Coturnix japonica: one gene and its partners. The main gene of each other region encodes a partner of the protein of the gene in region 2 in a complex. Links are inferred from orthologs where the notes say so. Each region holds a gene or a part of one and is shown on either strand. Other genes may lie near its edges. The genes, in order: ARFIP2, ARL1 and GOLGA4.

The links.
Region 1: the proteins of ARL1 (region 2) and ARFIP2 are in contact, whole or in part, in a crystal structure (PDB 4DCN), measured with the Homo sapiens proteins. The link is inferred for Coturnix japonica from reciprocal best matches to the Homo sapiens genes ARL1 and ARFIP2. Residues at the interface, in NP_001168.1 of Homo sapiens: Glu17, Arg19, Gln38, Ile46, Ile49, Gly50, Phe51, Asn52, Val53, Glu54, Thr55, Gln64, Trp66, Ile74, Tyr77, Cys80, Tyr81; in NP_001363487.1 of Homo sapiens: Phe205, Thr212, Lys216, Thr217, Asp220, Asp278, Ile281, Lys282, Phe285, Leu286, Glu288, Asn289, Lys292.
Region 3: the proteins of ARL1 (region 2) and GOLGA4 are in contact, whole or in part, in a crystal structure (PDB 1UPT), measured with the Homo sapiens proteins. The link is inferred for Coturnix japonica from reciprocal best matches to the Homo sapiens genes ARL1 and GOLGA4. Residues at the interface, in NP_001168.1 of Homo sapiens: Ile49, Gly50, Phe51, Gln64, Trp66, Ser73, Ile74, Pro76, Tyr77, Cys80, Tyr81, Ser83, Glu115; in NP_002069.2 of Homo sapiens: Thr2173, Glu2174, Glu2176, Tyr2177, Lys2180, Val2181, Glu2184, Glu2190, Thr2193, Lys2196, Val2197, Thr2200, Val2201.

Annotation. Positions count from the first base shown.
Region 1 is NC_029516.1:174,017,360-174,022,581, reverse strand, and holds the start of ARFIP2 (arfaptin-2), read right to left. Parts: upstream 3,237-5,222; 5' UTR 3,123-3,236; intron 2,622-3,122; 5' UTR 2,613-2,621; coding exon 2,514-2,612; intron 2,429-2,513; coding exon 2,320-2,428; intron 1,139-2,319; coding exon 1,028-1,138; intron 229-1,027; coding exon 113-228; intron 1-112. Other genes in the region: TIMM10B (mitochondrial import inner membrane translocase subunit Tim10 B), read left to right, coding at 3,328-3,369, 3,486-3,581, 3,663-3,854. UniProt on the Homo sapiens protein: Plays a role in constitutive metalloproteinase (MMP) secretion from the trans Golgi network. May have important functions during vesicle biogenesis at certain cargo subdomains, which could be predominantly utilized by secreted MMPs, such as MMP7 and MMP2.
Region 2 is NC_029516.1:43,427,542-43,432,663, forward strand, and holds the start of ARL1 (ADP-ribosylation factor-like protein 1), read right to left. Parts: upstream 3,405-5,122; 5' UTR 3,133-3,404; coding exon 3,129-3,132; intron 2,464-3,128; coding exon 2,326-2,463; intron 1,156-2,325; coding exon 1,074-1,155; intron 715-1,073; coding exon 603-714; intron 1-602. Other genes in the region: nuclear pore complex protein Nup205, read right to left, coding at 4,115-4,267, 4,801-4,874. UniProt on the Homo sapiens protein: GTP-binding protein that recruits several effectors, such as golgins, arfaptins and Arf-GEFs to the trans-Golgi network, and modulates their functions at the Golgi complex.
Region 3 is NC_029517.1:77,565,373-77,570,542, reverse strand, and holds the start of GOLGA4 (golgin subfamily A member 4), read right to left. Parts: upstream 3,375-5,170; 5' UTR 3,051-3,374; coding exon 2,628-3,050; intron 2,468-2,627; exon of another isoform or gene 2,447-2,467; intron 353-2,446; exon of another isoform or gene 190-352; coding exon of another isoform or gene 157-189; intron 1-156. UniProt on the Homo sapiens protein: Involved in vesicular trafficking at the Golgi apparatus level. May play a role in delivery of transport vesicles containing GPI-linked proteins from the trans-Golgi network through its interaction with MACF1. Involved in endosome-to-Golgi trafficking.

The DNA of each region.
Region 1 (5,222 bases), about 130 Mb from region 2:
TGCTCCCCATCCATCACTGCTCCTTTGTCCCCTGCCCAAGTTCTCTGCCCTGCTGCACAGCCAGAGATGTGACATACCTTGTATGTATTGATCAGCCAGGGATGCGACGTACCTTGTATGTGTTGATGCCCCATTTCTTGACAATGTCAAACTTCTCCACAGCGATGCCGCGAACAACCTCCTCCCCTCCGACCGGTGGGCTGGGATGAGGCTGGTGAAGCCCAGAGCCTGGAACACAGCACAGCAGTGAGGCTCAGCACAGGGCTTGGATGCAGGCCAGGCTGCCCACCCCACACTGCAGTGCTCTCAGGGCTGCTGCTCCCAGGGCCACACTGCGGCCTGATGAAGTGCAAGCAGAGCAGACTCCTGGTGCAGGCAGATCCACCCTGGGCAGCCCCATGAGATGCAGGCAGGCAGCGGCTCCCCCCTGCCAGTCAGGCACTGCTACCAGGCTCAACAGAGCCCTCAGTGTCCTGTGATTTGTCACCTGCCTGCAAGCAGCAGGACTTGGCCTCTTGCAGCACAGAATCTGGCCCCCAAAACCCTACTAGACATTGATAACCAAGGCCCTGGTGCTCACTGCATTGGCTGCTGCCCACATGGGAGATGCTGTTCCCCCTTTCACTTGCAGAGCTGCTGGCAGGGACAGCCCTGCACACCAATGGCCCTGGTGCTCCTGTGCTAGGCAATACTCCTTGTGCTCCGGGGCATGGTAGAGGTGGAGGAGAGGCCAGGCAGACACACAGTGCATCCCACAGCCAGGCACAGCTCGGCCTCATTGCCTGGTGCACTGTGGTTTGGAAGTGCCACGTGTGCCCCCAGCACAAGAACCGTGAGTAGACTCTGCTGCTGGGGGAGGCATGGGTTGGGTCTGGGTTGCTTTGGGTTGCTCCCCACCACAGCAGGGCAAGAAACTGACCCTGAGAAACACTGCACACAACGGGAGCCTTAAGCCCGGGCCCTAAGCCTGAGACAGGAGGACTCAAAGGCTGTGTCGCACCATGGGGCGCTGGGGTGGCTGCAGTACCTGCTGAAGCACCAGCCTGGCTGGCCATCCTGCTGGCGGCAGATGCACTGGGGGAGATGGATGGTCCTCGGGGTGAGTGAGGTTGGACAAGACAGCCTGGAAATGGAGGGGCTGGCAGGAGGTGAGCAGAGGGAAGAGGTGGGGGGGGTGTGAAGGACACGAGGGCAGGAGCAACCAGGACACAGGGATGAGTGTGCAGGAAGGGTGGCAGCAGGGGAGCAGATGAAAGAGTGATGTGAAATCAGTAGATACAGATGGCAGCCGCACAGACAGCATCACGTCAGAGGCACCCAGGCTCCTCTCTTGCTTCCTCCCCATCCCCAGGCTGGTATCAACACGTACCAGGTTGAGAACTGGGACAGGCCAGGACTGACAGACACAGGGAACCACTGCACAATATCCCCCCAGCCACAGCAGGCTGTCAGCAAAAGCTCATCTCCCCTCTGCCTAAGTTAATTCACCCGTTCAGCCTGGCACAACATGGAAGGACCCACAGTGAAAACAGTTGTTTGCAGCAGATGGGCCAGACTGGCCAAGAGCTGGGACAGAGACTTGTATGAAATGGGAACAGGGTGAGAGGGATGGATGGGGCAGAGCTGCTCCAGCTGCACTGACTGTGGCTCTGGGTGTGCAGCAGCAGCAGCTCCCCAGAAGCCCGTGGACACCATCCCTCCAGCACAGAGCATTTACAGACAGGCTCAGAAGTGCCTGGGGCTCCCAGGTGGGCAGCAACAGCAAAAACGGGACATTAACGCAGAGTCTGGGGCTCAGAACCCTTCTGCCCTGTCCCCCTCTGTCTGAAAGGTGTCTCTCAGGTGCAGCCACCACAGCTGTGCCAGTACTGTGCACCTTTGGGGCTCTTGGATACCCAAGAGCTGAGCCCACACATCACACCAGTGCCCCAGGAGGGCAGAGCAGCTCCCTCAGCAGAAGCCCTGCATCTACGAGAGAGCCAGGCATCTCCACAGCTGCCTGTGAGCCAAGGGCACGTGCAGGGTAAGAAGTGCAGCTGGGTGGAAATCACACCCCCAGGATGGGCCCCACAGCATTGGCGGGGTGGCAGCAGTGCTGTGCTCTGGGGCTGTGAGGAGGCTGAGCTCTGCAGGGCCACGTGGCTGTGACTCAGGACGGCCTCAGCTACGAGCAGAGCTGCTGGGAGCAGGGACACAGACTGGCCCCGTTCAGGGCTGCAGCAGGGTGGGCTGTGACCCCAGCACTGAGCCCTAAAGCCTCCAGCAGAACACCCAGCTGACCCCCACCCACAGCCCCGTCCCTGTGGAAGCCGTTTGTACCTTTGATGGTGCCGGTGGGGATGATGCCTTCAGCGGTTCCCCCGTAGCCACCAGACACGATGCTGGTTTCGTTGAGGTTGGGCCCCGACACCATCACTTGCTGCAGGTCCTGGGGGAGCAGAGCATTAAATTGAAGCACAAGGACAGACCCCCAACCCATGGGGCCGACGTGAGGCCCCGGCGCAGCCCCACACCTGCTCCAGGCCGTCATCTTCGGGCAGGCTGCCGGCGTCCCCGTTGCTGCTGATGGGGATCTCCATGGTGGCGGCTTTGCTCATGATCCCATCCGACATGGTCAGGGCCTGCGGGGACACACGGTTCGTTCACGGGGCTCCTCGTGTCCCCTCGGTCCGAGCTCCCCACGGCTCCTGGCGCGGGGCTCGGGGCCACGTCGGCAGAGCGCGGCAGGGCCCGGCCGGACCGGTCCGGTCACATTCCGAGCATCGCCCCGCCCGCACCGAGCGCCGTTATCACGAGCTGGACCCGCCCCTCGGTACCGGCATTGGGGGCAGCGCTGCGGCCCGGCCCGGGACTCGCAGCCGCCGCTCGGAGCCAACGAGCACCGAGAGCCCGGGCGGGACGAGCAGGAGCGACACGAGCAGCGGCTGCAACGGCACCAGGAACCGGGACGGGACCGGGGCGGCCCAAAGGCCGGGCTGTCACTGCACGGCCGGGCCCTGCGGCGGCACCGGGGCTCCCAGCCCGGCTCCCACCCGGGGCCCGACCTTCACCCCGACCTTCAGCCCAGCCCAGCCCAGCCCAGCCCGTCCCGTTATGTCCCGTTATGTCCCGTTATGTCCCACCTGCCCCGCCCGGCCCCGCTGGGCCCCCCCGCCCCGGAGGCTCCGCGGCCTCGATCCGCCTCGGCCCGGACGCGCCGGAAGTTACGTCACGACCCGCGCGGGGGGCGCCGGGAGACCGAGCCGGAAGTGACGTGCTGTAGATCCCCGAGCGGAAGTGCGGCGGGGCGGAAGTGCCGGTACTTCCGGCAGCGCGGGGCGGGCCGACATGGAGGCGGCGGCGGCCGAACAGCAGCAGCAGCTCCGCAGTGTGAGTGTGGGGGGACGGGGGGAAGATGGTGGGCGGCCCGGTTCGGTTCGGTTCGGTTCGTCCCGGTTCGGCGGTGCCGGGCCGTCCCGGTGACCGTACGTGCCGCTGTTTTGCAGCTGCGGGACTTCCTGCTGGTGTACAACCGCATGACCGAGCTCTGCTTCCGCCGCTGCGTCTCCGACCTCGGGCACCGGCTGCTGTCACGGCGCGAGGTGAGCGGGGACCGGGCGGGACGGGACGGGACGGGACGGGACGGGGTGAACGGAGCCGAACGGAGCCGGTGCCGCCCGTAGGAGCGGTGCCTGGACGGCTGCGCCGGGAAGCTGGTCCGCTCCAACCACCGGCTGATGGGCGCCTACGTGTCCTTGATGCCCGGCATCGTGCAGCGCCGCGCCGCCCGCACCGAGCACAGCGCGGAACCGGCCGCACCGGACGGACACGAAGCGGCTCCCGCTGATCCCGACGCGGCTCCCGCGGGCACGTAACGGAGCCGCGGGGTCGGTGCGTTGCCGTGGCCGGGAGGTGGCTGCGGGACGGTCACCTGATGGCAGCTCCCGTGTGGAGCCGCTGAACTGCCCGGTGTCACAGCCGGGCCAGGCCGAGCCGCGTTCTCTGCACCCACAGCAGCAGCCGGGACTGCCCGACATGGCGGCCAAAACCGGCAGCACAACGGCACCGGGGGCAGGAGGAGGAAGGGAACGTGTATGAGCTGCTGTGTGCACTGCAGCTCCCGGCTGGAATCCAGCACTGACTGGGCTCCTGCTGTCCAGAACTGAACATCTTGTGTTTGTATTTGACCATTTCATGGGGTTAATAAAACGTTTTATGTGTCGTGCTGTCAGTGTGTCACAGGGGTACACGGACACTGCTCCACAAGCAGCGCTGTGTGCTGCGTCCTGCTGCCAGCGGCACCTTCCTCCCAGCAAAGGTTCCCACTTTGCTCCTTCTAGGAACTGTTTCTTTGTGTTCTTGCTGCTGGAGCAGCATCAGCACAGGCTGCAGCTCCCAGCCCTGCAGGCATTCAAGGCCAGGCTGGATGCGGCTCTGGGCAGCCCTGGCTGCTGGTTGTGACCCTGCACACAGCAGGGGGTTGGGATGGATGAGCACTGTGTGCAACCCAGGCCATGCTGTGATTCTATGCTATGATTCTGTGATACCCTGTTCCCTGGCTTCCCTCTGATGGGTTTCATTGGCACTTAGAAGAGTAGACAAATGCACACAGATGTAAGGTCTTTAAGTGCCAGTAATTGAGACAAGTCGACCTTCGTTACTTAAGCTATGGGAAAACCAAAGATCTGGTGAACATTGGAGGCCCCTAAGATTATTTTCCACCTTGTGGACAAAGCATAAACTGGGTACGTTCTCCAGCAAGTCCATAAGCTGCCGGGAGAGCACCCGGCTGATGGGCTCCCGCTGCACCACTGCCCCCCTGTCACAGCATTCCAGGCACGGCCCCGCTTGGGGCTGTTTCTCCTCTCACAGGAGGCAGGTTGTGTCTCAGGCCCAGCTGTGCACAGGGAGCCAAGGCCGCGGCAGATAGTGGCTGTGTGGGAGGGCTGGGAGCTGTGTGAGCAGTGCCTGCAGTGTGGGTGCTGTGTGTGTCAGCCACAGCACTGCAGGTGGGTGGTGCTCATGGGTGGAGATCCGGCAGAACCAAGGTTAGGAACCAAAGGCAGGCATGGAAGTGAAGGAGCTGGGCTGTGCAAACAGCTACACAGGACAGCAGTGCATTGGTCCTCCCAAGGAGCCCTGGGTGCACAGGCAGTGATGCAAATCTGCACTGAGTTTGGGCCGTGGGTGCTGCTGGAGGTGGCGTTACTGCAAGGGAGATTCCCTTTTGCTCAGCCCCAGCT
Region 2 (5,122 bases):
AGAGAAAACCCGTAGGACAAAAAGCAGCTCCTATCGTGACTCTCTCCTCCAGTCTGTCCATTTGAGTGCGCTACCAAAAGAATGACTCCTATTTTGAATTCCAATTGCTCTCACTTGGCATAGAAGCACTTTCAAAACAAGGCAGATTTCATAAGGTAACAGCACTCTGTAAACAGGAGGCAGATTTAATAAGGCACACTATTAAAAAGCTTGCAGCGCTTTTGGAAGAAAAACAAAGTTGCACTTAACACATCTTCCCTTTATTACCATTCTGGGCATGTTTTTCAGCTTCACTACCCAGTAGGACTCCACTGGAATTCCTTCAGGGCCTGATTTTCTACCACTGATGCACTGAGCAGCTGTTCTTGTGGACAGGCAAGTTTTCATGTGACCAAAAGGCTACATGTAATGTCCAGAGAATTACTGCGCAGACATAAAATACCCACAGCACATTGAGGTTGCTTCAGTTAGAAGCACTGCATGGGCCTGTTCTGAGGGCTAAAATTTGACAACCGAATGTGATTCACTGAATCAAGTTTCACATTTGCTCCAAGAACTGCAGCTTCATTTCACTGATATGACCATCATTCTCATTTTCTTACCTCCAGCATGGCAACAAGCTCTGATTTGGAAGTGCCAATTCTGTCTCGATCACAGCTGTCCACCACATAAATGACTGCGTCTGTATTGGAATAGTAACACCGCCAGTATGGCCTGCAGGAGACAAAAAAGGCCATATGAAGGTTCAGACGTTCTCTACAGCCACAGAACAAAAAACCAACCAGAGGAAGTAAAAACCGTCTCTGGGGTGAAAGATAGGAAGAACTGATCATCACGAGGTTATGAAAAGGACCAGCGTGGCACAAATAATCACCAGCAAAAACTAAGAGGAGTTAATTTAAACAGCTCATTCATATAGGTAGTTAATTACTGAGTGTCACAACAAACCATCTTTTTCAAGATAGCTGGAGCTAAAAAGGGAAAGGAAACGAGCGCTGCTCCTTACTGAGTAGCGTTCAAAGCACTTTTAACTGGAATATAATGATATCTTTTCATTTTCAGACAGGTGTTACCTGATGCTTGTCTGTCCTCCCAGGTCCCAAACTTGAAATTTCAGGTTCTTGTATGTCACTGTTTCAACATTGAAGCCAATTGCTGAAACAAAGTTACACCATTTTATTGATGATCCTTGTTTTTGTCCCCCCCTCCCCCCCGAAATACATTTAGTTTAAAATCATGATGCCTAAAAATTTCATGAGCAACATAGTGATGCTCACGTCCTTTGAGGAGTTTATGGCTGAAAATGATGCATCATAAACATATTATGGAGACCCCACCAACAAATGCTGAAGTTGTTATAAATCAACAGAAACGTGCTTGAAAGCGTCAAAGGAAACAAAGCAGCAGTTCAAGGAGTGGCTTGCTTTGATAACCAAGTACACAACTGACAGCAGTAGAACATTAAGGAACATATCCTACATGTCAGCACCAGATCTGCGGCCTCAAAAGACCACAGCAAAGACTGCTTCTCAGCACAAGACTTCATATCATGATATCTGGAAGATGGCAGTAAAGATACAGCACATACAGCTGTCATTCCCTTCCCTGCCACTACAGAGAAACACAGAGCAGGAAAACAAAAGAACATTGACTGCCTGAAAGACCTGACCCCAATCAGTCAGTTTGCTGCAGCCATTCAGGAAGACTTCTAGAGATGTGGCAAGGATTCAACAGCCAGCATTCCTTGTCCTTCATGTTACACCACAATCCAGTTCATGTTACACTACAATTTAGAGTAGATATCAGGAAGAAATTCTTTACTGTGAGGGTGGTGAGACACTGGAACAGGTTGCTCATCATGGCTGTGGATGCTCCCTCCCTGGAAATATTCAAGGCCAGGCTGGATGGGGCTCTGAGCAACCTGGTCAGGTGTCCCTGCCTGTAGCAGGGGGTTTGAAGCAGATGATCTTAAATGTCCCTTTCAACCCAAACTATTCTATGATCCTATGATCTCAGCCAGAAAATTTCAGCACACAAACCTCAGTGTTTGTTACATGGAGGTATGACAGCATGAACACTAACTGTCAATGGTGGTAGCAACCTTGAGGCCAAGTATTCAGCAGAGTAGCATAAGAGATGCCTTTTTTGTTGTATCTGTATAGCTCACCACAAGAGCATCATGTGAGAAAGTTCTTAAATGTAAGTGCCAGGCTGCAACAATATAAGGTGCTTTAGTTTACAAAGTAAGCACTTGTGAGTTCGGTTGACCAAGCTGACATTCCAGAGCCAACAAATCAGCTGTTTAGTAACGGATCGACTGCTTACTTGGAATGGTGGTAACAACTTCTCCAACCTGTAGCCTGTACAGGATGGTTGTTTTCCCAGCTCCATCCAGCCCCAGGATGAGAATCCTCATCTCTCGAGTTCCAAACAAACTGGAAAAGATGGTGGAGAAAAAGCCCCCTACAAAAAACAGAAGCAGAACAGAAAGGCACCTCCAGGTCAGCTGGCAAAGCAGAGTCTGTCCTGCTTACTGAACAGCACAGCACATCTCTCACATTCAGAGGGAAAAAAGGCAAGTTGTGAGTGCTGAACCACATCCTTCCCTCATGGTCTTATGCCATTATTCTATCACAAATCTCCCCGGACAAAACGAAGCTTGCAGCAGCACTAAGCTTCCTCATTGCGGTTAGTCTGCTCCTTTGCCAAAATCTGAGCCTCCTCCTTTGTTTGCATCGGCCTCTGCCTTCCCAACTCCACCGACCCACCGCACAGGAACACTGCGGTGCAAGGAATGACTCCCCCTGAGCCGTAACGTGCCTCCCGGGCCCACCCGCTTCTCGTTCCTTCAATGGAAGCGCAGTTTTGTTGCTTGTTGCTCATAGAGTCGCGCTGCCAGCCCCCCATCGCATCCATGTGCACAAAGGCCGCAGGCGCTGCCCCGCTCCGTGCCCCCTCACGGGACTGAACGCGCTGCTCTAACGCCACGTCCGTAGGTCAGACCCGAGCGGACGGCCCAAGCCCCACACCCAGGGTGTCGCCTCCCTCAATACTCAGCACCACGACACAACTCAGCACCACAGCACAACTCGGCGCACCACAGCCCCCCATTGCCCCGCAGCCCTCACCCATGTCGAGCCGCTGCGCCGGGCCCTGCCCGCCCTGCCGCTCCTGTCAGCTCCACGTCGCACGCCGCGGCGAGTAAAGGAAGCGGCCCCCCCCCAACTTCGCCGTTTCGACACGGGGATGGGACTGCCTCTGCCTCCAAGGAAGAAGGGGAAACAGAACGCAGGGAGACCTGAAGCCTCTCGGTACAGAGGTACGCGGGACGGGAGGAAAAAGGGAGGAGAAATAAGATGAAATTAATCAAGCGGGCCTACGAGGAAAAGTGACGAATCTGCTGATGCGGAAGCGGCGTGTGCGGAAATGAGCGCGGCGCGGCCTAATCCCTCCCCCGTCCCCCACACAGCCCGCCTCTCATGCGCCCATGGCGTTACAAGGGCGGCTGTACCGGCTGCCACCTTCTATGCCCTTCCCCATGATTATTTATTCCTTGTTCCTACAGTTCTCCAAAGAGAAGCTTGTTTCCGTGTCAGCTGAAAAAAGGCAGGGCACTGGGGAAGATAAACAAGCAGCTTACAGTGCAAAATGGTCACCTTTCTCATAAAATCCATATCAAAGAGTCTGATCACATTAAACGTGTGTGAAGCAAGAACAGTACGAATAGACAAACCTTTCCATTGTCTCTGAGAGCATCCGAACATACAGTATCATCGCAGTCACAGAACAGCTTTTGTTTCCTTATGTATAGTATCATTGCAGTCACAGAACAGCTTTTGCTTCCTTTATGTCCTCCATTGGAATTCTTTCTTGCTTTAGTTCTTATATGAATCAGAACTCGCTTAAAAATGATTCTTTATTTTTCCTTTCAAGTTGGGAGCAGTAAGAAAGAATGCACAAAACTGATCCAAAGGGATAAGGAAAAAAAAAAGTAACAAAAATGTTGGGGTTTTTTTTTGACATTCTTTAGAAAATGAGTCATCTATAAAATGCAATGATCCAGAAGGCCTGCCCAAGTACACAGCTTCAAGGGGCAAGCTTCATATATCAGTCTTTAGGTCCTTGATATCCTTAGAAGACCACGGATACGTCTTACAAGAGCTTGAATAAAGGTGTAACGTGACCGAACCTTCGAATATAACCCCTCAATGTCCAGAAGTTTCTTCTGTAGGGATTCACCAAAACTGTTGGCGGTTTCAATCTGAAGCTGAGAAACAGAGATTTGGTTCAGTCAACAATACAAAAATCTTATCATTCTAGAGCATGCTTATCCATCACCTGTCAATACCTACCAGCTTTTTCACAATACTTTACAATCTTTAGGAATTAAACAAAACTTTTTCTTATAAAGGTGCTTGAGATTACAAAGGGTTTTGATCATAGGCTCTTTTTTTGTCCACAAACAGCAGCTGAAAAGTCAATGGATGTTTTTAATAAAAATGATCTTTTTTTTTTCCTGCTGCTTCTGCAACCAATTAACACAGACTATTAAACTTCTGTGTAGGAATAAATCAATTCTGTTGTAAATATTCACACTTTACAGTCTGTTCAGTTTCTACCTGCTTCATAGTGTTCTGTAAAAAAAAAGTGTGCAACACATCATTAGTTCTAAATCGAGTTATTTACAGCTGGTGTTACCACAGGTTGTTGAGATATGGGAGAATGGTAGTCAGACTGCTCTCAATAGCTGCATGGTAACAATGTGCATTCCATATTTTTCAGTAGACTGTTACATCTCACCTGATCTATATCATGCTGACTCACTCGATTCAGTCCACTGCTGAAATCCAAGCTGGACTCTGAACCAAAGGAATCTAGTGATAGAAAATCAGAGGTTAAAATTATGTTGACACCATCATTCTTCTACATTGTCATAAATGGTTTTAGAATGCAATACTCAAAAAATTTGTCACTAAACTTGCGTATTAGAAGTTAAAGTAATTTTTTGACTTAACATTTCTCTCTAAGTCACTGAGCAGCCATGATCACACAACATGGCACTTACAGTGAAAAGCTCCTCCCATAGTCACTAATCTTTCTGACCTCTATCAAAATTCATCAC
Region 3 (5,170 bases), on a different chromosome or scaffold from region 2:
GAAATGTCTACCACAAGACCATGACTGAGCTGGATGCTCTGAAACATGAATGTCAGGATATCAGTCACAACAACAGCAACCTATTCCTGCTCTCCATTTCCTTCCACTACCCAGCTCAAAGCGAGTTATATGAAGAAGACATCTCCTAGCCCTCACCACACAGCGTGAAAAAGATTTCCAAAAGTTCATCAGCACTTAGCTGCTGTTCAGAAGGAGTATGAAGGCGTCTCTTTGCTCTGCCCTGGCTGGTTCTACGTTTGTTATTGCTTCGTGCACTCATCCCTCTAGACAATTGGGAGTAACTTTAGGAGCACCATGCAGGGTAGCAGGAGCAACCATTGATCCTATGCAACAAACAGCAGAATTCCGGAACTGAAGTTCGAAAGATCAAACGGATTCCTGCAACTGCAAAAGCAGTTTTTTTTCTCTCTGTCAGCATTCAAAAGCTGACATGTCCTGCATCAGACAGGTTTTCAGATGCAGAGGGCTAACATCCATTAGCTAACCAATGACATGGAAGAGGAAGGCCTAAAAAGACCTTGTGTGAAAAACCATTCAGATGAATGTTATGATGGGAGAAACGGTGCCTGTGGATTTAATCAGTGTTAGAGTGGTAAATACAGCCTCAGACACCACAGCTAGAACACAGCCAACAAGTTATGTGTCCCTGAGAGGGAATGGCAAGTGAGGCCTCCCTGTGAAAGGGGAGGACACGAACAAAAAGAGGAAAAATGAATTCAGATACAAGTTCCATAGAACAAAAAATGTCAAATGTTTGGAAAACTTGGGTTTTATTAGTCGCTGTGATGACAGAGCACATCATTTAGTGAATGCAGTTTCTTTATATATCTACTAAAAGCAGGGGAACAAAGGCACTTCCCACGCCCCTGCAGGTCTCCAATACACTCTACAGGCCTTAGTACCTTCACTCTCCTTCCTCAATCACAGAATCTATTTTGAAAAGCACAGGAACTAACAAACAGATCAGTCTACTTTTAGGATCAAACTTAACATCAGTTTCCTGCTAGTAGTACCAGAGATCAATCAAAGTAATACTGCAAGAAAACTATTTCACACACAAACAAAAATCTCTTCTTGTTCTGTCTGCTCCTCCACTCATGTCAACCTTATATATAGTTATATAGTTATATAGTTTGCCCATAGCAGACTAAGTGAAAGTATGTTATGCTTCATAAGACTTATTAGTGCTAACATTAGTCCGCATTAGCTTTAACAACCAAATAAAGACTATAATATATTGAACCGTGGATGTGAGAAAATAAATAAATGCAACCACACCCATTTGGACCCAAATTTATCCACAATGTTGATTTCTAGTGAGCCCTCATGTATAGTGAAAACACACGTAACAAGTGTCCCGCTAACTGGGTGAAAACACTGTGTACAAAGTACTGTGATCTGGCTGTTTATAAGAGTAGGTTCTGCAGCTCTGTTTCCACTGTATATGAAAGTTCAGCACATGTGCCAATTCAGTACACTATTCTGACCTGACTGTGACAAAAATGTACTTCCTTTAACTCTCTAGAGAAGACTCAAAATGAATAGATATGAAAGGGCTTAAAATTAATCTTGACAAGCTACAGAGAGCTTTGCAGACAATCCATCTCCAGAAGTACTGCCCCTACTTGACAAATAAGCAATTTAAACAAATATTAAGTAGCTGAATGTCAGCAGGGTCGAAACTATGAGCCCACACAACACCAGATCACCCATGCATCATGTTACACCCAGCCAGGCACAGGCAGCTGATGGCTGATATGTCGGAAGAGTGCAGTTGCTGCCTGCAGCCTGCTATTAGCACGATGCCGAGTTTATATCACTTTTACTCTGCTAGATTCCAAGATGTAAAGGATTCCTAACCCAGCAAAAACTCAAGAGACAAGGGCTGACAGTACACGTCTAAGCACAGAGTCTGATGAAGTAAAGTTAACTTGTCTTTTACACAACTCTGAACTGGTACAGTGAAGATTTCTGCTTCGACACATGTATGAAATCATCACAACATTCCTGGCCATGACCACTACCAAAGACTGCACACAGCAAACTGAACGCACAGTACTTCATTATGAAATGTAGTTTCTAGAAACCAATACTAATTATGCACTTCTATCGGGGTACAAGTAAAAGAGAGAAAAGAGAGAAGAAAAGTCAGCTAAATTATCAGCAAACTAAAAAATGTAAAGCTGAGAACAACACTTTTCTCAGCTTTTCTACCTTAAAAAAACACACACACGTGGGACTAAGTTGAGCAGAGCAGGCCTCCAAAAGAGGGAAGCAGAAGGGACTCGGGAATGTGAAGGGCAGACACTAGAATGAGAAGCGATCTCAACACCGAATTACAACTCCAGCGCATACCACAACGCGCACCCCCCGCACCGCAATGTCTCACTCGTCGTGCCGTTCCATACCGAGCCCTTTAGCCCACCTCTCAGTCCGCCTTCGCAGGGCCGGCAGTGGGCGCAGAGCCCCGGAGGTGCGGCCGGAGCGCCGCGTGTCGAGGGTGCCGCCCCCCCGCCGGCGCCCAGAAGCCCCCGGGCCGCTCCCGCTGCCCGCACGGCGGGTCATGCCCCGAGCCCTCCCTCCGCGCCGCCGGGCCCCCATGGTACCTGAGATTGGAGGGGGGCGGCCCGGCCCCCAGCGCCGCGCGGCGGCGCCTGCTCCTCACTGATCTTCTGCTTCAGCTTCTTGAACATGGCGGCGGGTCCGGCGGCGAGAGGAGCGCGCTGCCTCCCTCGTAGTCCTCGTCGCCCTCCTCCTCCTCCTCTTCTCTTGCCCCCTGCAGTGAGATGGCACTGGAACCGAGCCCCTGCCCCGCTCGGCCGCGGCCGGCACCTCACCGTCCTCGGGTCCCCCCCTTCCTCAGCAGGTGAGCGCGTCGCTGCGCCTGCGCGACCAACGTGGAGCCGAGTGCTTGAGGCGGTACGGGGCGCAGCGAGGCACAAACTTCCCCCGGGAATTCGCTGCCCTCCCCACGCTGGGGCTCGTCCCGGCCCGGCCCGGCTGCGGGGGTGGTTCAGGGCCCGCCCCATGGGGCCTCGGGCGGGGCCGGGAGGGGAGCGCAGTGGCGGTGGTTGAGAGGATGAGTGGGTAGGCAGCGATAAATGCGTGGTGCGGCGAGACAGAGCTGAGATCTGAGTGGGAACTGGTTAAAGGGTCTTCACTGGTTGGAAGGGTGGGGGTGCGGAATAGGCTCCGCAGGGCAGTGTCACGGCGCCAGGCTGCTGGAGTTCAAGGAACGTTCGGACAGTGCTCTCATACATTGGGTCTGGATTTTGGGCGGTCCTGTGTGGAGACAGGACTCGATGCTCCTCGAGGGTTCCTTCCAACTCGGGAAATCCTGTGATCCTATGACTCACCAAAACGTCAGTCAGAGGTTTCTAAATCCTTCCTTGTGTGACAAAGCTCTTCTCTAAGGCGCCCATTGCTGGGTGTGTGGAGGTCTGTGGAAAACACACAGGCCTGCTTTCTGCAGCTGGCTGAAAACATGTCTGCTAGCAGTCACTTTGTGAAACCTTTTGTGTCCTACTCTGTTTGCAAACTTGAGGTGTGTTCTTTACAAATAGGATGTGAATACAGCATCACAGTTGCAGTTTTCTATTTGAAACTGAGCAATGTTCTTGGCCACTGCAGAAGCTTTAGATTACTTGCCGTATTATTATTATTATTATTGTGTGTGAGTGTGTGTGTGTGTGTTCAGTTCTCTCATTGAGACACAGAGGGCTATTAAAGCAGGTACCATTCATTCTCCAACAATGAGATTATTTCAAAACTGCCATGTTGCCAGTGATGTCATGTGAAGGCTGGAAATACATGATGGGATTTGCAAGAAATGCTGAACCATGTGTCTTCTATATAGCACTGAAAAATGCACTTGGAAATCACAAGCACCCTGACATGTTTGCACTGAAATACATTGCTGTCACCTTTAAGTAATTTGAGAAAAAAAATGTAGATGTATAGTTTTGCTGTGCACTGACCACAAAATCAGCAAGATACATTCACAGGAAATATATATATAGTTTTTCCTAACTTTTTTTTTTTGCATGTGAAAAAAAATATTCAACAGTCTGTTTAGCAGTAGATAAACTGAATGACTTGTTGTGATACTTGTGTATAGGTAGCCTTGTAAATAGAGGTATAAGAAACTGTTTCTGAGACTAAGAGGGCAAAAATACCTGAAAAGCAGCCCACAAGGTAATGATGTGGAGCGGGTGATTATTTTTAACTGTGGTTCTAAAATGGGAAAAATTGCTACTTGTGTCAGATGGCTTCTATTCCCTCTACACCTGGCATGCAGTAGCACAGACCATTCCCAGGTAGCAAGTGAGGGCACTGCCCAAGGAGTGCTCTGGGAAACTCTCTAACCACTGCACCTCTAGCCTCACCTCCAGCCTCCCAACACATCCCTGGTTACCACACCTCTGTGCTTTTCCACAGTGCTGCTTGGTCTCTGCAGCACCAGTAATTATACTCTAATTTTAAATTCGTCACTAAGTGTACTGTGTAAATTTGATGGCTAGATGCATATTAAAAGGAAACTAACTCATACAGTAAAAAGATAGAAAAGCAGAGCTTACAGCTGCCTTTCGTCTTTCAGGACATTATTATCCTGGCGGACTATCTGTCCAGATATCAATGGAGTAAGTCAAGTTTTTCTTCTTCTTTTTCTAACCGTGTCTTCTACCACTATTGCCACTTCCTGTCCTTACTTTTGTCATTGTTCCTTTACATTTACTTTTTTTATAGCATTTATAACTTTGTTCATTTTTTTTATAAAATGTACAAAACATGAAAGCAAGCTCTGTATTATTTCCTTGCTAAATTTCATTGTTGTGTTCTGAATATATATATTCAAATTCTGAAGATACATCTGATAATTTCCCAAAATACCTTCATAAACCTTTTCATTTTGTAGTGTCTGGGCAAGTTTGATTTCAGTATACAAAGAATTTACTCCAAGCTCAGTGAAGTCCTGGGGGAATTGTCTGGAATCACTTTAATTCCCACCCCTTCTGGGTGACAAAACCCTTTATGCAACTGAAGAGTACTTTATTTCTAGAGGGTAAGTCGGTAAAAGATAAATGTACTTCTGCACAGTTCTGGATATGATAGATAATGAAGAATAAAAGTCTGTTCCCAAGCGAATCTG